2 linked regions of the Astyanax mexicanus genome follow. The protein of the gene in region 2 interacts with the protein of the main gene of each other region in a biochemical or structural test. Links are inferred from orthologs where the notes say so. Each region holds a gene or a part of one and is shown on either strand. Other genes may lie near its edges.

The links. The genes of interacting proteins can lie anywhere in the genome.
Region 1: the proteins of foxa2 (region 2) and hoxa5a form a complex in vitro, tested with the Homo sapiens proteins (2 studies listed by BioGRID). The link is inferred for Astyanax mexicanus from reciprocal best matches to the Homo sapiens genes FOXA2 and HOXA5.

Annotation. Positions count from the first base shown.
Region 1 is NC_064410.1:62,556,548-62,567,578, reverse strand, and holds the start of hoxa5a (homeobox protein Hox-A5a), read left to right. Parts: upstream 1-6,881; 5' UTR 6,882-9,760; coding exon 9,761-10,328; intron 10,329-11,031. Other genes in the region: hoxa9a (homeobox protein Hox-A9a), read left to right, coding at 1-220. UniProt on the Homo sapiens protein: Sequence-specific transcription factor which is part of a developmental regulatory system that provides cells with specific positional identities on the anterior-posterior axis. Also binds to its own promoter.
Region 2 is NC_064421.1:21,261,642-21,272,156, forward strand, and holds foxa2 (forkhead box protein A2), read right to left. Parts: upstream 4,719-10,515; 5' UTR 4,514-4,718; coding exon 4,316-4,513; intron 3,727-4,315; coding exon 2,521-3,726; 3' UTR 2,098-2,520; downstream 1-2,097. UniProt on the Homo sapiens protein: Transcription factor that is involved in embryonic development, establishment of tissue-specific gene expression and regulation of gene expression in differentiated tissues.

The sequences.
Region 1 (11,031 bases), on a different chromosome or scaffold from region 2:
GCTTCACGCGAGCTCCACGCGCAAAAAACGATGCCCGTACACTAAACACCAGATCCTGGAGCTGGAGAAAGAGTTTCTCTTTAACACGTACCTCACGCGCGATCGCAGGTACGAGGTGGCGCGCCTCCTTAACCTCACCGAGAGACAGGTCAAAATCTGGTTCCAAAACCGCAGGATGAAGATGAAAAAACTGAACAAAGACGGCACGAAAGACGAGTGAGAGGGAACACTTTGCACCCCCCTAAACATTGGCAATGGGACATTTTCACATTCGGCCCTGTCTCGTTCATTCCATTGTTTTTTTTATTATTGTTGGTTTATTTGTCTGTCTCAAGGCATGCATTCTAGGACCGAATAGTGTTACATATTGGATTATTTGTGTATATCTTAAATGATTCTACCTTAAGTGAATGTTGCACAAATCCAGTCTATTTGTACGAAATAGGAAAACAATATGCTGGCCTTTTTTCCTGTAGACTTTTTTTGTATTATTATTTTATTTTTTGTTTTGTATTAATTTCTATCTTCAACTAATAGACATGAATGAAATGTACGTAACAGTTCCCTTTAGATTGTGTGCCACTGCACATTTAGTGTAGAGTATTCCCCCCTCTTTTCTCTAATTTCTCAAACTTTTCAGTCTGTCAATTGTAAACTTGGTTAATGTAGTGCAAAGTAGTGTTCACACTGAAAAGAGGTTACAAGGTCATGTGTGCTCTAGAAATGTTATAGTATTTTGTTGGTGATTAGCCTACCTTAATTTTTATGACTACCTAGATTGTTTACTATTAAAGTTTTCGAGTTTGGACACTTTCTCAATCCGTGCTGACATGAGCTCTATTAAGAATTGTTGAATTAAGGAATTTTCAGGGAGTGTGGAAGATAGATAGGCCTATTAAAGATAGCTAAAAAAAAAATTAGACACTGTAGTCAACAAAGTAAATACCTCATGGGCTGTCTGTCATGGTCAGTCATATTTGTTCTTTTGTTTACTTTAAATATCTCAAATGTAATTTGTATTTTATTTATTGAAGAATAAAAAAATCATATGTCTAATGGTATGCTAGTGTTTTGTTACTTCTTTTACTACTAACACTGTTATTCATATTATTCTTGGTAATAATAACACCCATTATTATTATTATTATTATTATTATTATTATTATTATTATTATTATTATTATTATTATTATTATTATTATTATTAAGCTCTAAAAACTGGATTTATATCAAGCTATATAGTTAATAGCAACAAAATAGCAACACTGTTTCTCCACCCATAGTAAAATGATAGTGTTTTTATCCTGATTGAAAATAGATTTCAATATGTGCATTTCCATCTTTAAAAAGTCGTAAACGAGGAAATGCATACGCATTGCATGCATATAAATAATATTATATATAGATGTATGCATGCTACCTATAACACACTGCCTATCTGCGGACCTGCGAGCCATTTGAGGCATGTTGGGACTCGGGTGGAACAGCAGGCCCATCCCGCAGTCCACTGTTCTGGCAGAAGAGATTGCTAGCTGTATACTGCCATAAAAGACAATTACCGCTATAACCGTTTATGGGGTGCAAAGCGCTGCGAGGCAAGAGAACGCAACACAAGAGAGATGTTATTAGACCCAACAGCTGAAGGCCAGGGAACATCACTCCATGCGTGCATTCGAGAACTGATTTAACACTATCTATGGCATGGAGCAAAAGCCCGTCATGATTAGGCAGTCCTAGCTCTTCAGTTATTTCCTGTAGGAATTAACCAATACTCAACTCACTGGTTGAATTGGTGTGGTAGAGTAAACCTAGAGGAAACTTACTGAAAGAATATATAAGTATACCGCATACCAGACTGGACTTGACGCACATGAGTCGCAGATGGACGCCGACTTCAAAGGCCTCAAAGACCTCGAAGCCGTGGCCATTAAGCGCAGGGCCTGCAACACTGTCTGGCATTCCGCGTTTAATGGCTTTATGGCTGTCCAGACACAATTAGTTTTCAGAAAGCCCAGCACCCATTTGGACTAGTGCTTTTCCTCTCTCTCCCCCATTCTGCTCTCCGTGAGACTGAAAACAAAAAGCCAGCGGAAATAATCTAGTTTTATTGGCGTCTCTGGCCCAGGCTGGCCCCACTCAGGCACCTTTTGTCTGAATATTGCAGACCTACGCGGTGATAAGAAGGGCGATAATCAAGACCAGTCAGGAGAATTTTTTTTTTATTGTCACGCAATAGAGCAATATGTACTATGAAATGAGCAACAATGCAGAACGCATAACAGCTTACGTAACAGCACTGCTTGTGCAACCACCCAACAAAATTTTCACCTCAGTCCCAGCGGCAATGAAAGAAGCAAAAACGCTGTGTTCATGATGCTGTTACAACTTCTCGCCACTAGGTGTCAGAAAAGATCTACCAAAAGGGTTTAAAGCTTCTCAATACGTCGCTGGTTAGCAGTAATTACATTACACTTTCAAAACGATATTGCTTAAAAAGTTTGTGTTCACGATTGTGAGCCCATAGGCCCACTGGTAAGACGGATTTTGTAAAACGTGCAATTAAAAAAAATCAATAAATAAATAAAGGATGCCACCAAAAGGTTCTTTGTGCGATGGCATAGAAGAGCTGCATTTAGTTCTATAAAGAAATACGTTTGTGTAGTGAACAGTGTAAAGAGCATTTTAAAGTCTTAATCTCGTTTTTGTTATGTAATTTTTATCACAACAGTCAATCTTTTTTTTTTTTAGCATATTTAGGAGTTTTATTTTTAGGAGTGTATTTATACATGTATACATGCAAAGATACCATAGAATTGGCTGCTTGTTCGTTAACATAGTGATAAAGCAGGCACTACAATCTCTTGTGATCATTTAATTTTGATTTTGCTTCGGAATAAAGAGTAACTCACCGTAAAGCATGCTGTTGGCGCCCTGTTCTGCTACTCTCGTTTTTCTTTATAATATATAATGAATGACTGAAATATTTATAGCTTATTTATATTGTGTAATTATATTATGTTGCCATCTTGCTGATTCATCAAACAGACTAAACAGTTACAAGTGGTGTATCTCAATTATGCCTTCGTTATGATATTGGATGCAGTGTTCGACAGGATTAAAACATCGTGTCATCCTGCCGTCCAGGGTGTTGCATTTCCCATTACACATGTGTTTCGGCAGTCAGGCTTTCATGTGATATTGCACGGTTTTAACACGGTTACATTTGCGGTGTAACTCAAGTTGCATTCATTTTAAGGTCAAGCCCTCAAAATGAGTTATGCGGTAGGGCTAGTTTTTCCAATAAAAAAAAGGAAATTTGCTGATTTTTAAATGGCTTCAAATTACACAGTTTGTTACAGCTTTATTATTGTTTTGTTTACGGTAAAATACAGGTGGTACAATTCTGTGGTCTGTTTTTTTTTTTTTTGCCTCGGGCTGTGATTGCTAGCTCTTCCATAAATACAAAATTCCATTATTCTAAAATTCTGTTCGCCGAGTGTAAGAAAATGGGTATATTAACTGTGGACAATGAATGTAAAAAAGGAAAGCAAACAAATCATAAGGAAATCTGTCAAAACGTGGTGGATAGATTTTTTTTGTTTTGTTTTGTCTAAGATTTTAGAAAATATTATTAACATATTAACTATTGCTTCCCGAAAAAATAATTTTACAAACAAATACAGAGAATGAGAATTGTCTCATTTAACCAACATATTGTCATTGTTCTGTATCAGAACATTACGCATCAAATATTCAGATTTATGCAAACGCTTGTGCACCCTCGGGCAAATTGCGCGTTTAGATATTTGAAATAAAAATAAGTACTCATGGACACAAACGTATTTATAAAAATCTGCACGTTTTATACATGATTTCTATTTAGTTTGGAAATTATGACACATGTACATTATAACAAAATGTTAAATTAAGCAATTGTAATTATGCTTTCTAATGTGACGTGTTTACAACAAATGTAATTTGGCCCGGGGTTTAAGATGACTACAAATACAAAACAATTTGCCTGTATTAATATAAAGATGTTTTGACAACTGGTAAATTTACTGCATAAAATATATATAGAGATATATAGATGGATAAGAATTAATGTATTTTTTTTTTTTAAAGGAAACGCTTCTACAGTGTCTAAATGAAGAAACGTGTGAAATGGAGCTTGTCACTAAAAACCTATAAAAACACACGCCGTTTCTGATTGGTTGGTAACTGCATAGGTTCTAACCATGTGATATCCAACGCCCAATGTCTGTAAGTTTCAGGTTGGTGTGAACTCTGGCTGTAATGGCATCATATATCTCCCTACCTCGTAAAAACGACACTGAGGATTCTGGTCCAACAAATCAACTGGAAGCGAAAAATGAATTCATCTTACATTGTGGGTGTTTTTCCCAGTAATGCGCAGTTCCCTTATGCAGTACAAGCAGATGAACATTGCGTTCAGCTTCAGCTACAGTGTAGAAATAAAGAATTACTATCTACATCGTTAATTATCAATACATGGCGCTCATCACAAAAAAACTGGGATTTCTCAGAGACTTCCTATGATGTGGAATATGTGGAACAACAGCCCTGACCAGCATCTGCTCAAAGATGAAGCCTTGGAGCAGATCATCAGGTATGAATTCATTTTTTTTTTACCTTTGATCTGATAGTTGGATGTGCTTGTTTGTATGTAAGCTAAACGGCTAATGTCTTTATTATTGGTTGTTAATGACTGCCTTGTCATTCAACGTTGGCCAATCAGAAAGTAGTATTTAATAAATTAATACATTTTATAACACGCTCGAAGACTCTACAAAGAAAGCATGTTGATATCAAATAATATGCAGTGCAGGGCCTACACCAGCATAACGAACTTCCTAGAAAAATTACATATGATTTACCTTGTGTCCTACATAAATTGATTAAATTAATGTATTTACGCAATGTACTTTGCTTGTATTCTTTAAAATAACTAATTCGTATTTTACATATTATGTCTATGATATTTTTTTTTACTTACAAAGCAAACGTGCCAGTGTTATATTAACACTATGGTTGCTAAATTGATCTGATGAAGTGTTGAGTTACCATTATTCTGTGTAAAAAAAATAGGCCTGTTTAGTTAAGTTAAGTTTAGGCCTAAACTTAAACAAAAATCTTTAAATTAAATTTGACCAGATATATGGTTAATTATTTTATAAACATTTAGCCAAATAATTTTTTAAATTGTTTTAAGAACCCTTTTTAAGTTGTTAATAGTTAGAACAATTTTAATGTACAGTATTGGTGACAGTACCATATCTTTGGAACTTAGTTAACATCAGTCAAATATTATCCAGTAGTAATGATGTGCAATCCTACAAAACCAGTAGGATAAGGTAAATGATTAAGCAAATTAATTAATTTAACAGTAATATTAAAGTGAATCAGTTTATGAGAACCATGACCTGATTCTCATTACATGATGGAAGCAATACATTTGTGTACAGATCCAATGCAGAAATAACGTGAATAAAGTGAGAAATAAATTATTAATGAATTATCTTTGTTGGTGCTGCTTACTGTCTTGTGCACTGTACAAGTAACCATGACCTAAATATACCCAGACTTTGATTTTTTTACTTTAACTTTTTTTAAATCTCTAATTCTAATATATCATGCAGCTTTTCCATTTTTATCTAAAACATGACATTACAAAAAGTCTATCTATACAAGACAGAGAATGTCTTATACTGTATAATTTAGTCCAGCACAACCATATATGTTCAAAAAGCAATAATACCGAGATACTAGTAGAAGTATTGTCAAATTGTCACTATTTTTATTTTGATTGATTTTAATTTATACAGATTGTATGAAGAACATTTTTTGGACCATGCCATTTCAAGAGAATAACTTTCTTACTGTCTATAGTAAAAAGAAGAGTCTTGGTGAGCGCACACATATATGATACAGTAACATAATAAGCAGTCTAGACGTGAACACAGACGCTTATGTACTTGCTGAATAACGTGTCACTGTCACATATTAAATACATGCGAGCTTGTTTAAACCTAGCCATTTCAAAAAGAGAACATCTGTTTCATCAACATATAGAAACACATACACTATGTTCAACAGAAAATATGAAAAAATATATGGTGAGAAAATATGGTGCATCATGTACACTATACCTCTAAGTTTACTATATACGCTTATATATTATGCATATGTACCCATGTTCATGCGTTGTCATATATCTGTAGCGAAGGTAAAGCGTTGATTGGTGAAGCACCTCTGACTGGTAAAGGCTCACTGGTTCCGCGCTTTACGTTAATCAGGGCTGTAAGGATTTGCATAATGGTTTTTGATTCGGTATGCAACACAGCACAGCTTTCTCTGTGCTCCTCCTCTATGTAAAATGGCGCCTTGCAAAAATCCCTCCTTTCTAGCTCCTCCTTCTCCTCCTTTAGCCAGGACGCGACTATAAATCTGTTGTTGTTTATGAAAATTTACTACTCCGCTTCACAACTTTACGAGCCTACACGAGTTCCTATTGGCAAGCGGTGGTCACATGACCTCAAGGTCCCATGCACATGAACTTTTTATGTGCATGCTTCCCTTCCCCAGAATAGGGCTGCATTCTTGTCGCGCGGCTCGCTCCTACGCTCGCGCTTGTTTTCTCCGGCAGCGTTCGCTGTTGATATATTTGTTTGTTTGTGTAGTTTTGTTTCTTACAGCTTTATTTCAACGCCGTGGGTGAGGATCTCTAAGCTAAAGGACGTGTGGGCACCGCTAGGATGCTTTCTTACTGGATGTATGGACTGCACTTTGAGCTGGACAGCTGTCAGATGTTTCCCACGTTCTGGGATCCACGTTCTACTGCTATGACTGGTAGGAGTCTAGAACCTTATGCTAAAACATATGTTAAAAGTTATTTTATTATCATTATTGTTCTCAAAATATGACATTTGTATTGTTGTCAGTGCTCAAAAACGACCGGTTGCTTTCTATTTTTTGGGGGGAAATCAGATGTTTACGCCTAGTAAGATAATTTGCGATTAATCTGCGAATAATAGTCTGGACATCAGTTGTGATTACAAGACATTTCTTTCAGCTTAGACCGACGAAAAAATGCCTGGAAAAAACACAAACTTGGCTGGGGTCCTGATACCAGTGTGAACTGGAGTGGAGGGTTTGATGATTAGTGTTCACGTACTGCTGACAGCAAAGGCGCACTGGCAATCTCATTATAGACGTTTAGGCCTTTGCCAAAATATAGCCCTAACATGTGGTGTTGTCTCGGTCTGTCGCAGAGGCAGATTCTAAACCAACCATCTGGGGGCGCTGTGACATAAAGCACAGATAAGAATTGCATAGGTTCTATGTTTGCAGAGGTTAAAATTAATGATTGTAAACCTGTAAAGTGCATGGCGTTCAAAAGCATGCCCTTTGGAGTGCAACTTCTGTACAAATGTTTTGATCTTGCCTACATGGCGATGAAGGTCTGGAAGGAGTGTGGGGAAAATCTGTTCTGGTTCTATTTTCAGACGCTTGCTTGCTATTTAGACCAGCCTGTTTCCTCTTAAGAGTATGTGACATATAGATCTGTTTTGAATTAGACCGTTAACCTCAGTTACATATTTTTAAAATCACTGTGTCACTATACTAAACGTTTTAATATATTGGCTTGACCAATCTCTTACAATTGTAAAGTAATTTGTACACAATACATTCGCTAGTGTTAAATCAACACTGTTAGTTTTAAATTAACATATAACACTAACAGTGTTGATCTCACACTAGCGAATTTACTCGGTATTAAGCAAATAGTATTAAAACGTTTGCACTATTTGAAGCAAAATGGATAGAATGCATTTTTCAGTACTGTACTACTTTTCCCCGTCATGTGATGTTATGTTGACGTTGACGTTATTCATCTGAAAAGCCCTTTATATTTAAATCATTACAATTCTGATAACCATACATCTTGCAACCAAACATACCTTGCAACGAGTAGCTGTATCGAGGGTTTTAATACTCAAATCTGAAAAATAAAAAACATTTTAAAATATTTAATTGTGCTGCTGATCCATATGCCCTGCTCTCATGGTCAAATTCAGTTTAAATAATTCCTAATGTTGTATCAAATAGTTTTAATTCCGTATCCTTTGTCGTTTAATTTTTAGGTCAAAAAACTGTCTGGTGACAGCTTACCAATGCGTATGCAAAAATCATAATTCATTTTTATTTAGCGAGGTTTCTAACTTACAAAATTCTTTTCGATTCCTTCACTGAGGATGTATCACTGCTTTTATTCGATACGCAGCAAAATCTCTGTCGTAGTGCACTCGCAGCTTTTTACTGCGCACAAGCGAGGTTTTATGCATGGTTTTATTTTACGACAACGTCACAGGCCAGTTATAAGCATCAACGCTTTTATCGCCCATGTGTGATGTCTCAGTCTGACTGTATTCCTCGTGTTATATCTGCTGTCGTTTAGTTATTGGTTAGACGTTTCTGGCTACGATAGAGATGAGCTTAACAATGAGTATTACTCCAATTCCAATTTCTCCGTTGCGGTGTTGAATCTGTGTCTTTTGTGTGGTAGTAGGTAGATTTTGTAGAGCTTAAAAATATTTGCAATTTTAGCATTTGAGTTTCAAGTAAAAAAAATAAATGCTAAAGGCTAAAAAAAGAATTTTCTCACACACACACACACACACACACACCTCATTTACATGCACTCTTTAACAAGAGGTTTATTTAACTGATCGACTTGCTATACGTGATCTACTGCTTTCTTATCGCATCATAAGGTTTAATTTAAAGATTTGAGCTGATTTCTTTATTTTTTAACTTGCATTTTTAAACATGGGGTTAGTTTAGTAATGCAATTAAAAAAGTAGCATGTTGTAAAACTGATGTGTGAAGAATATTTAAAAGATTTAGGGAAATATTGATCTTTCGGGAGACTTCATTTTGTTGCATCTGCATCTCTGCACTTTACTCCAGATTTTATTTCTCTCAAATTTAAAGGAGGATTTGAGCACTGTGTAGATATGTGTTTTTTGGAAGGTATGGCTTTTAACAATGAGTTCAAAATAATGAACAGTTTTTATTATTTTTTATTGTTTGTGGATTTTTTCTTTGCTTCAGAGAGGCTGCTTTTAAAATACGCTTTCATTTTCTTTTAATATCTGATATTGCTATTTCACTGGATCGCTTGCTTTTTGTTTATTCTGTTTGATTGCATTGTACCCAACGAAATGTTTCGGAGCGTTTTCCAGCGAGGTCACGGTATTGTGTTTTGTTTCAGCAGTGATAATTTTTCCACTGCAAAGTCGTTAACCTCTGCATGACCCTGTCCCAGCCTGTAGCCTCGAGTAGGGCAGTGAGGGGGGAATTCTTCGGTTATACCAAAGGGTGGCGCAACACTACAGTTCTAAACAGCACCGCTAGAGCCTTCAAACAATTCCACCCAGATTTCCTGCTCGCGCGTGAGTTTACCGCTGGAGGTCATCACACAGGATTTACGACTGGTCAACAAAAAACACGTGACTTCAACCCATACCCCATATTTGGGCGCCTACGTAAGAGAGCATGAAGTCTGTGTCTCAGTCATTTCCATAATTCATCATAAATTGTGCAAGGGTGCAATAGACGCGCAAAAGCATCAAGAGACACAAATCAAGCACGCGCGGCATTGTTGTTCTCTCCACGGTGGTAATAATAACAATAATACCGGCAGAGCAATTATCAGGTAATCGCTGTCAACCAACCAATGAGCTCTTATTTTGTAAACTCATTCTGCGGTCGCTATCCAAATGGCGCGGACTATCCGTTACATAACTATGGGGATCACGGTTCAGGCGACCAATACCGAGACTCTACGGGCATGCATTCCAGCAGGTATGGCTACGGGACAGCGGGATACAACGGCATGGACCTCAGTACCGGTCGCTCCACGACCGGCCACTTCGTCCCTTCCGGAGAACAGGCTCAAAGCTACAGCCAGAGTCCAACGGCGACGCCTGTTGACGCCCGGTACAGTCAGCCGATCACCGCGAGTAACGCTACTCCCCAGTCACCTCCTTCCGACTCGCTGCCGTGCTCTTCCGTCGACAGTTCTCCGGTTAGCGAACCAGCTCACCGCGCCCTGAAAAGCTCCATAACAAATTCTACTGTCTCCACGGGCAACCCCGGGCTGGGGTGCAAGGACGTCCCCAAAACGTGCAACAGCGTGGAGGAAGAGAAGCCCACGGGAAGTGCGCAGACGACTTCACAGAGTGTGTCCGAGACGTCCCAGCCTCAGATCTACCCCTGGATGCGAAAACTTCATCTGAGTCATGGTAAAAAAAACTAAGATATGTAAAGAAAAATGCATATGTGGTAACATAAATGCCAGACAAATGTAATATATCTTAATTTAAGCAGTTTTCCTGTACATTGCCTCAGAATGGCATGATAAATAGGCCAAGGAAATACTCCAAAATTACTTTAAATAAAATCTTTTTATAGCGACTTCCACTGGAAGTTAAGAAGGTTAAAGAGGGGGTTTCCCTTCTCCTGTAAAGTATTCCTTTATTTTAGAGATACAAGTTGCTGCGTGACAGTGGCGATTTAGCACTGTAGTTTGTTTCCTGTTTTTACATTAAAACATCTGAAATGTTGGGCCATATAAACTTTACATAGGTCAGATTGAACGCAGAATATGTACTAAAGCGATTACTATACGTGCATCTGATTAAGATAGGTTTGTCTTGTCCAATCTTTCAGAAATCTTAATAAATGAAGGATTGAACGTATATTTCAGAATAAATGTACATGTACAGTGTATATGTGAAATCTATATGTACATGGCATGCACGATATAAAAATCATGTTAAAGCATAAAATGTATAGAGGTTTATATGAATTGTATGTTTAATTTAGAATGTGGCCTACACGCTCAGTATGTTTAAAAATGAGAGTATATATAATTTATATAAAGGAATTCGGCATGTTCAATTTTGTCGTATATTTAACATCAAGATAATGCCAAATATCAGATTT
Region 2 (10,515 bases):
GAGCAGAATAATACAACTCAGCATGACTGGTAAAGTAAACCTGCTTTCTCTGAGTCCTTGTCTGTCTTTAAAAACATTAAGAAAACTGCCATTTCTACACCGCTGACCTGTGGGAAATCAGTTGAGGGTAGCGTTTGGCTCGGTGAAGCACCTTCCTGAATTTTTCCGCAGTATAAAGGCCGTCATCAATCAGCAGCAATCAGAAACAAGTCGCTGCTGCTCCCGCTGCTTCTGTTATTGCCAAAGTTCGCAGCTCCAGAGTTTTCCAGACACAGTGTTGCTAAAACCGGCGCGAGCTCCGTGCGAAACCCATCCCGAACTTCTAAAAAACCTGCACACGCCGTCTGCAAAAGCGCACGTGTATGAAAGAGTGTGAATGAAAGGCAGAAATAGTTCCTACCTGTGCTGAGTGAGCGCCCTGCAGCTGGAGACACCCGCCTGCCTTCTGCAGAGTGCTTAGAGGCATCGCGGCATTTATTTGAGCTCCAACTCTGTCACTGTTGACTTTAGCACAAAGCAAAGATTTCGCTTCCCCGCTAGTTTAAAAAAATGATTATTTTACAGAGATATCGATCAGTGCTCTATAAAAAATCAGCCTAGCATTATGTCTAAAATGAGGGGGACCGAAATTTAATGTCTGTGTAAATTTACCTAGAAGTGACGTGCTCACATACAGAGTTTACATTCTCGATATTTGGTCGTCCATGTACACATCCCATATATGTATTAATACCATATTTTCATTGTTTACCAGCTTTTGTTTATTCGCAGATTGGGGGGATTTGAAACAGGGCTGCAGGGCTCTAAAATAAAGGGAGCAGGAACGGCCTCTGTCCACACTTCAACCTGGACAGAGTGGGATTCCTCCCTGATCTACAGTTTGTGTGCTAGGTTCTGTGCATGATCTACTTTAGAGGAAGGGTCATTAGATTATACTACAATGTTCACATGTGGAGGGTCTGCCAGCTAACCTGTGCTTTAGGCACTTTTAAAAGCCCAAAAACATTTACTTGACCAAAAATATAATATGTTGTAAAATTGCCAGATTAGATGCATGCTGAGATAGTTATTTACCCCGCCAGAAATTCACTTTTTATACAGTATCATCCTGTATATTTACTAAAGTTGAATGCCTTTGCAAAGGTTCACACAAGAAATGACACAGATGTGAGAGGGGATTTAAGAGGTACAGAATCGATGTTGACCCTGTTTAAATGGTTACTATATAGAGTGCACAATAATAACAGAGTCTACAATAATAATAATAATAATAATAATAATAATAAAAAATAATAATAACAATAATAATAATAATTATTATTATTATTGTTATTATTATTATTATTATTATTATTATTATTATTATTATTATTATCCTCATCATCTTAGTTTTTGAATCTTGTTTTTGTTGGTTTTGGTGTCTTAAATTGTAAATGACTAAATGATAGTGTATGTCTTAATGATAAATAATAATTAATAATAATAATAATAATAGTGGACATCTAGAATAACATATACGGTGCGTGTATAATAAGAAATTTGTATGTGTCTATAAAAATATATTTTCAATACTTATAGGAAGGGGTATTGAAAAATAGATATGGTGTGCAGCTGGATTCAGGGTTTATTTTTTTTATTTAGTTTTTTTTTTACCTTTTTTTTTACAAAACAGGAAGGCTTGGTCGTGAGATTTTATTAAAATCCATTTGCCTGCTTGAAAGATTCACCTCTTTAAACACCCGTTTTGAATCTTAATTTTGAGTGCAGCTTTTGAATACTAATTTTATGCTAGATCCCACTGAAAGCTCTTGAGATACGCGGCTCTGTTTACTGAGGAAGAGGTTCTGGAAAGGAAGAAATCCCAGCAGAGAGGTTTTGCACGCTTATGATCATCTGCGTGTTTGGGTAAAAACAACAGAAACCCATCTTGGTTCTTATATTTCTGTTATACATATTATTATAGTTTTCTAAATTCTCTGAACGATTAAAAAAAACTTTTTTTTTTATTTATTTATTTTTTTTTATTAGTGTTGGAATTAAATACCCATTAAATCCGAGTGAAATATTTTGATAAAAAGACAAATTCACCGTCATCAGTAAAAATTCAAATAACACTTTAATATAGATTCTGTTCTTGTCAACTACAAGAATACACATTTACAAGCCATAAATAAGGTTTGGGATTATTTTTGTTGTTGTTTTTTTATTCACAACATGGACTGTTCTTTGTCCCTTTTGTTGGTGCAAGACTTTCAGTTGTCAGGCGCGATTTTTTGGTCCATTTTGCCTTGAGTTCATGACATTCGTTTCTTCACAATGTTTGTTTTTATTATTTGTTTTTATTATTGTTCCCTTTTTTTTTTTTTACAAAATATTTACTAATAAACTCGACCACTAAATTAACGAGAATAAACGGTAGCAAGAAAAATGTCCAGAGAATACATAATGCACAAAATGCATTTTCTTTACAAATGTACAAAGTTCCTTTTAAGGGTCCGTAAGGCTGTGCGAGAACAGCCTTTAGGATGAGTTCATGATGGGCCTGGAGTACATGCCTTGGTAATAGGACGTGTCTGCAGCCAGCGGCGACGAGTCGAAGCTGGCTTTACTGGCCACAGATCCCATGGAAAGGGCTGCGCCGGCCATGGGAGAGCCGTAGCCGTAGTGCATGACCTGCTCGTAGGCTTTCAAGTCCATTTTATGGTGCGGGTGGTGCTGCTGCTCGGAGGACATGAGGTTGTTTATGGAGAACGGGTGGTTGAACGAGTAGTGGTGCTCAGGTTTAAGGTGGGCGTCGTGCGCAAGGACCGCGTGATGCTGGACTAGGAGTTGCTGCTGCTGTTGCTGTTGCTGCTGCTGGTGTTGGGTGGTCGGCGAATCCGCTGGGTCTGGACTCACACCACGGGCGGACTTCATATCTCCCAGCGCGCGCTTGTGGTCATGGACAGGGGAGTGTGAAGGTGGCGTCTCGTTGCCGTTGCAGCTCTCTGGGCTTCCGTGTGAGCCTCCGTCCCCAGCTTTCCGCCCACCGCCCTCTTTGCCCATCATCTTTTCGCACTTGAAGCGCTTCTGTCTGCGCAGGTAGCAGCCGTTCTCAAACATGTTTCCAGAGTCCGGGTGCAGCGTCCAGAAGGAGCCCTTTCCCGGCTTATCCGGTGATCGCGGTACTTTGACGAAGCAGTCATTGAAGGAGAGTGAGTGGCGAATAGAGTTCTGCCAGCGCTGCTGGTTCTGCCGGTAGAAAGGGAAGAGGTCCATGATCCACTGGTAGATCTCACTCAGCGTCAGCATTTTGCTGGGTGACTGCTGGATGGCCATGGTAATGAGTGAGATATACGAGTAGGGCGGTTTGGCGTGCGTATAGCTCCGGCGGTACGTTTTGGGGTCGCGTGCCCTGTTCATGTTTGACTGGCCATACATAGGGCTCATGGGGTTGACGTTGGGGTAGGCACCGAGCGCGTTCATGGCGGGCGCCTGCGCCGTCATGGGGCTCATGCTGGGGCTCAGGGCCGCGCTCATCCCCGTCATGCTCGCACCCATCCCGGCCATCGCCCCGGCGCCCGGAGACATGCCCGTCATGGACGGACTCATGCCCGTGTTCACGTACGACATGTTCATGGTGTTAGCGGTCATGTTAGCCGTCGTGCTCATTCCTGACATCGTCATGTAAGTGTTCATGGAGTTCATTCCAAGGCCAGTGTTCATGTTGCCAACAGAGGTGTAACACTGAAAAGCATAAAAACAGAGAGAAATGTCATTAATGCTGTTAGAAGGAAAAACAACGTTTCTTTACATCTCTATTTCTTTAAATATTTTAACTTATTCTAAAAGCGCGTCAGCATTTCAGTTTTTTGTCAGATGTCCTACTTCTTCCAAACGCATAAAAATACCAAAAAGAGACAAGCAGGTCTTGTAGACGAATGATGAAATCGCATTTAAGTTTAAAAATTAGCCATTAAACGAAGCAAACGAATCGAAACCAATGTTCCTTAAGTAAAAAAAAAGGTGAAAATTAAATATAAGCTTATAAACGAGTGCACAGTGCTATTGGCATATACCCTTCTTTATACATAAGGGCCTGGAATTGCAAGGGAAGTTTGCATTACATGTCAGACACCAACTTTTGTTAGGATAGTGCAGGGCTTCGAGACAGGGGAGGATTTGGAGGCGCCTCAAGTCAATATTTGATCTCAAAGTTAATATTATCTCAGGGCTAATATTGAGTTATATAAAACGGAATAGGCTTTTTTGACTAGAAGAGAAAAGAAAATATTTATATATATATGTACACAGGCTATATTTAGGCAATACCAACCTCAGGTTCTCCGTAGTAGGTGCTCCAGTCTGCGTGTTCGTGTCCTTCCATTTTGACAGCACCAAGCATCCTGGAAGTTTCGTCCACTTTCTCAAAAAACGCTTTCCCACACACGAGCGTCCTCTGGCAGGCTGTGGCTGTTTGGAACCACGGGCTACTCGTGTCGCCGTGCTCTGCTGCCGTCAGGGGCTGGCGCATGTGTGTGTGTTTGTGTGTGTGTGTATCTGTGTGTGTGGGAGGTAGCCGTGGCCGCTGATGACTGGAGCTCAGTGACGCCCGCTTGCGCCTCTTAACGCTGTGATATAAACTGTGAGCGCCGGGCGAGCCTCCAATCCCTTCAGCACTCGGCCCTATTTGAATAATCTGCTCACACCTAGGCGCGAGACTTTCTCCGTTTGCCCCCCTGTCGAGCACCTGCGCCGCTCCAAAAAAAGAGCAGCCTTCATGTGAAAAGATTCATTATGACCTAATCTTATTGTATTCCAACAGGAGAGAGCGGGAAGGGAGGGGTGTTGAGGGATTTGGGGAATGGAAGGGGGGGCTTTATCATGCACAGTCTGGATGATGGAGAATTTTTGTAATGTATAGAAGGAAGTCTGCATCTGTTTATTGCGTTTTTTACGTTAACTTTCGTTCGTTTTAACTAGCTCAACAAACTAAGCATTATAGCACGATCCCCCTCATATCACTTTATAATTGTAACACTTTCAGCAATAAAGTCAGCAACACTGGGTTCTCTTGAACGATACCACAACAGAATCACTTTTAAATACCCCTCAAATACATACACTTTAGCTTTATTCCTTAAAGAAACATATGCAAGCAGATTTGTACATGTGTGGATCGTTTAAAAGGTTTAGAAAACCTTTAGATCGTTAGATGTCCGTTTTTTTACATTTACTTTTTTTACTTTTTAAGAGTGTGCATTATGAAAAAAAATATTACCCAAAATTTATTTATTTTATAAACTTTAAAAAAAACAAAAACAATGCAGCCTATAAGAGGTTGGCATCACCGTGAAGAACCAATTAATGATACCAAGAAATTTTACTGTTCCGTTTGTTAGACTGTCATTGTTCCTCACAGAGCCATTTGATTTGTTTAATAACCTTTATAGAGGCTTGTTTTAATGGTGCATATAACATACAATCCTATTCTAAATATGAATTATATATTTCAATTTTTACATCGTAAAACGAAAAATCCGACGCAGGATTATATTAACCTTAACACGTGATGTATTGATTTATTGATAATGGACTACAAAAGCTACAGCGCAAGTGAAGAGTCAGAAACAGAGCTATGTGCTAAGGTGTGTTTGAGGTGGCTGCTTTGGCTTGTCTTCCGAGTTTGTTTACGTGTGTGTTAATATATGTAACTAATAGCAGGACGTAGTTTGCTAATATAACAGCTTCACTCTTCGCCGGCAGGTCATCCGTGTTGATTTTGCAGAGCTCAGTGGCCAGATTTGATTGCCTTCACTAAACAAAGTGGCCTAACATTTATCCAATGTGTTTGACTATCCACGAAATAGGGGGACCACGCGGGCGAATGCTGATGGGTTTACGCAGGAGAACGTGTGAAGACCCTTGACTTTAACTAATTTGATGTCACTTTACTTATTCGTAGGTCAGTCAAATCTGTTAAGGTCAGTTTTGCACAATGTGCACTATATATAATTGTACAAAAAATGATGGTATTTTACTTTTTTTGTTCTTGAATATCATTATTAATTATCACGAAGGCATGTCATACAAGCCACTGTTACTTTGCTGTTGTAAGCGCTGTTGAGAGCACCCCCTCTTGGTGGGAGAGCTAAGCCACACAGTGGGATACATTTATGTTTTGACAAATATAGGCTAATAGTTTTATTCATGTTGTCGCTCCATATTATCCACAGCCGTTTCTGCATAAGTTTGTGTATTTTGAGGTCTTCTAGACCAGAGTTTACGCACGTCTTACATTTGATTTATTCATTAATGCGCGCTCCGAAAAGCGCGCATTAATACCTAGGTGTTTGGCACGTGCCTGTCCAGCGGTGTTATCGTGTGCTATCTGTTTGATTACGTATTTGCGCAGCACAGGCACACAAATGTCAATATAATCTCGGAGTTTATTTGGACCTGTGTGTAATGTGTAAACGGGGCTGAGGGCGCGCGCTGCGCTGGACACTCGCGCATGCGGAGCTGCCTGACATCGCGTGATGCGCTCAGGGCACCGGTCTGATTCAACACTTCTGCACCGCTAATTCGCGCTCATGTGCATGCCGTTGGATTTAGTGTAGTAAATCTCGCCAGCTGCACGTGCAGCGTAATAGCACGTATATTTACCCAGCCGGCATTTCACAGTTTATTCACGGTTGAATCAACGTCATATTGAGGTTAAATCAACGTTGAATTAGTTTTTTATTTTGAAAAGACTGATAAGTTTTCTTTTTATTCAACATTGCACACTCGAAGAAGTATGTTTTTAGTAAATATATATAAGTACAAAAATATGAAATAAAACCCCTAAATCATTTACATGCTTAAAAATGTCTTTAGTTTGAGGCAGAACTAAGACAACTTTGTCTGTTAACTTTGTCTCTTACTTTCTAATTTGCTGATTTCTTTTTTTAATGCATGCATTTAGATATTTTAAATTCCCTTTTGATGAAAATATAAGTAACTAACTGTAACCTGTATAAGGAGTGAGTTTTTATTTTGTGAGGGATGTTGAACACTGGCCAGCATAGTCATGCCAAGGCGAGCTACATTTTTGGAGTTTGAGCAAAGCATTTTATTGTGCGCCAGACCGATGTGAAATTTGTGAGGGCATTTAACATTTTTTAATCTGCAGTGTCTCGTGTGTACTGCGAATACATAACAGAAGGCATTAACACCCACAGGGGACAGTGCAGTGGGTGGTAATGATTGTGGTTGACTACATTTGGCTAGCATTGTCCATGTCAGCAGACAAAAGACTTTGTCAGAAATCAAATAAACGTTCAAAGGAGGCCCCACACACATGTGCTGTAGGTCAATGCAGCAACCTAGGTTTTGTGGGAAATGGCAAAAGTCATGGCACTTTTTTTTTCTTGTTTTTTTTTCAACTGGTTCCTGTCCCATGACGTGGTATGTCAGTGTATAGGAGTATTTGTACACTGCTGTCTTTGCACTATGTATGTTTGCAGTTATGTTGTTCTTGTTGGCTTGGATTGATGAAGTTCAAAGGATCAATCCGGCTGAGATATAAATGAAACAGTGGGAAGATTCTCAAATTTTACCTACTAAAAGCAAGTTTACATATGTAGATTTTAGGTCTAGCCTGTAAAATGGCCAGATGTTTTGGTCCAAAGGAAGATGCTTTGTCAGTCATAAAGGAGATAAGTGATGGAGATTGATGGAGTGTGGTGTATAGCTGATATTGAGAAGCACTAACATAAGATCTCTAAGAACAAAGGAAGCAGAGTCAGTTTATTCTTTGGATTGTAGTTTTGGCACCTTAAATAGTTATATATTGACCTTATATATTGAGTTATATATTTATATGTTTTTTTTTTATATGTTATGTTTTTTTTGACCAGACACACCATTTTCACATCCTTAAAATGTCAGTGATACATAGTGATACACCCAGCTGTCAACATGGATACCATAGCAACTATTTGACAGCATCTGGGTAACCACCTGATACAATAGCAGCTGACAAGCGACCACATGGGTACCACAGCAACCACTAAGCAATGTCATAAATCACCTGAATTACCATAGTTATCACCCTTCAGAAAAATACCGTAATACTCATCTAGCAAGCACCTAGTAACTTAGTAACACCATAGCAGCCACCCATTAACCAGTTAACAACACATATAGTGGCAACTGATAACACCATAAGAACCAATAGCAACCTTACCACCACCGCACCACGGCAGCAACTTAGCAACCAACTAGCAGCCACTTTGCAATCACCTGCAACACCAGAGCAACGCCCTACATCTATTGAGCTGCAGCATATCAGCCACCTGGGATAGAACAAAGACTCTTAACAACCACCTCAGCAATCAGGTTGCAACACTATGACAACAACCTGGAATACCATGGCAACCACATCAGCAGCCTAGCAACTGTTTGGAAGGGAAGTCCACTTAAGCTGCTAACTATTGTGTTACCTTCTAACTATTAATATCAAATCAAATCAAATTTATTTGTATAGTGCTTTTTACAACTTGTCACCAAGCAGCTTTACAGAAACATGATATATAATAGAAGGTCTATTATAGTTGTGTATCTTAATTGTGTGGGTGCCCTTTTTATTTTGCTGCTATTACTTTTTGCAGTTGTTTTTTTCTTTCTGGGTAGTAAAAGGTTCTCTCCGTTTCTTTCTCTCTTTTTCTTTCTTTTTTTTCTTTTTGCCATTGTGTCAGTTTTATTTGAGGTAAACTTTTTTTCTTATGGGTTGCTTATATAATACATGAATGTAAGGGAAAATTAACTTTCTTGTAATGTCTGAAATGATGCTTACATTTTAATAAAAAATATATTATAAAATATGTTGACATTTTAGAAGAAAAGTTAAATACCATAAAGTATTTGTGAAGGCCTGAGAGGAACTGTAGGATTCCAAAACTTACACTTTGCTTTAAGTGCCTGTACAGGTTGTCATTATTCTGAATGGAGACTTTTAAATGATTATCATGTATGTTGATTAATTTAATGAGTGCTCATGATTAATCCACTAGAACTCAGGTAATTCACTTAAGTACAAAGACTACTCGTACACTTGACTGTTTTCAAGTGGGCAGGTGTGTAGCACGGCGTTCTTTTGGAATATTTTGTTTAAAGTTAATCATTTATGACTGTGATACAGACTGTGAGCGTGCTCAGTAGCGAAGGTCACTTTTTTTGTATTTGGTAAAAACGCGAAGGACCCTGTCTTTAAACAAACAGAACAGGGAGTATTGGCCTATACTTTGTGCCTGATTTACTCTGAACCTGAGGTAGCATATGGCAGGTGCTTTGTGCATAAATGAGAGCCCACAGTTAGTAGAGGTTTTATTAAACACTTAAGGCATAGGATAATTGGCCAAGTATTTATACAATACATGATATTTAACATTTAGTTTTGCTTAGTTTAAAGAGACAAAAAAGCTCCAGCAGTGCCAAGAAGTGCAGCTGATTTGTTTTCAAAGTTTCATATTGTTGAATATATTATATAAATTCTCCTATTTGTTGGTCACGTCCGTCACTGATGATCCATCATGCACCTTTGAAGGCTTTTTGTGTGTTGCAATGCATCATCACTGTGGGTGGCGCCTAGGTGATCCTACTCAAACTCATACATTAGGGCCTGTATTCTAAGCAAATATTGTCTTGGGATCTCTAAACACTGACCTGCATTCTCTCTTTTGTAGACAGGAATTCACCTTTGAGATCGCTAAGAGGTCAGGCTATTTTTAAGCTTCTAAAATTTTTCGGCATCTTCTCATGGGAGGTCTAAAAAGAGGTTCCCTTTGTTGCAACTGTAGGACACTTACATTTTGTGAACATAGCTGCAATGTAATGTGCAACAAACTGGTTCCAACTCCTTGGCATGTCCTGCTAAATCGCATTTTATTTTTTGTTTATATTTTCTATTATGCATGGGTCCATCCAGTCATGGCCAGCTGGACAAAGGTGAACAAGTTTTGTCAAAATTGGTATTTAATGAAAAACAAACGCAACTCTAGGTGTTTGACCTAGAGTTGCAAACGTGTAAATTGTTCATGGGGACCTAGTTCTGTTGCAAAAATAATATTTTTTTAATCACCTTGATATTCACCACAATAGTAAACAGTTTAGCTTTACTTTACCTAAGTATGGAGACAACATGATAAATATTAGTTGAAATACTACTAACTGCTAAACATGACGTTTCAGTCCTTTGAACAGAAAACAGTAAAAGGTATGGGTGTCTGAATGTCAAATTATTAAAATATTGAAAACATCTGCATTTTTTAATTTTTATTTAACCACTTATAAATAAATATGAATATTGATATTAGATCCTTATTTCGGTTTGGTAGTTCAGACTGCAAATCACAGTGGCTTTAGATCTCTTGACAGATGTCTTAAAATGTTACTACCAAATTACTTAAGCAATTGATGAAGCTAAGGAATGTATCTTGTTTCTCAGTGTTATAAGGTGCATATTTAGACACTGAAGGACAGCTTTTGAAGTAA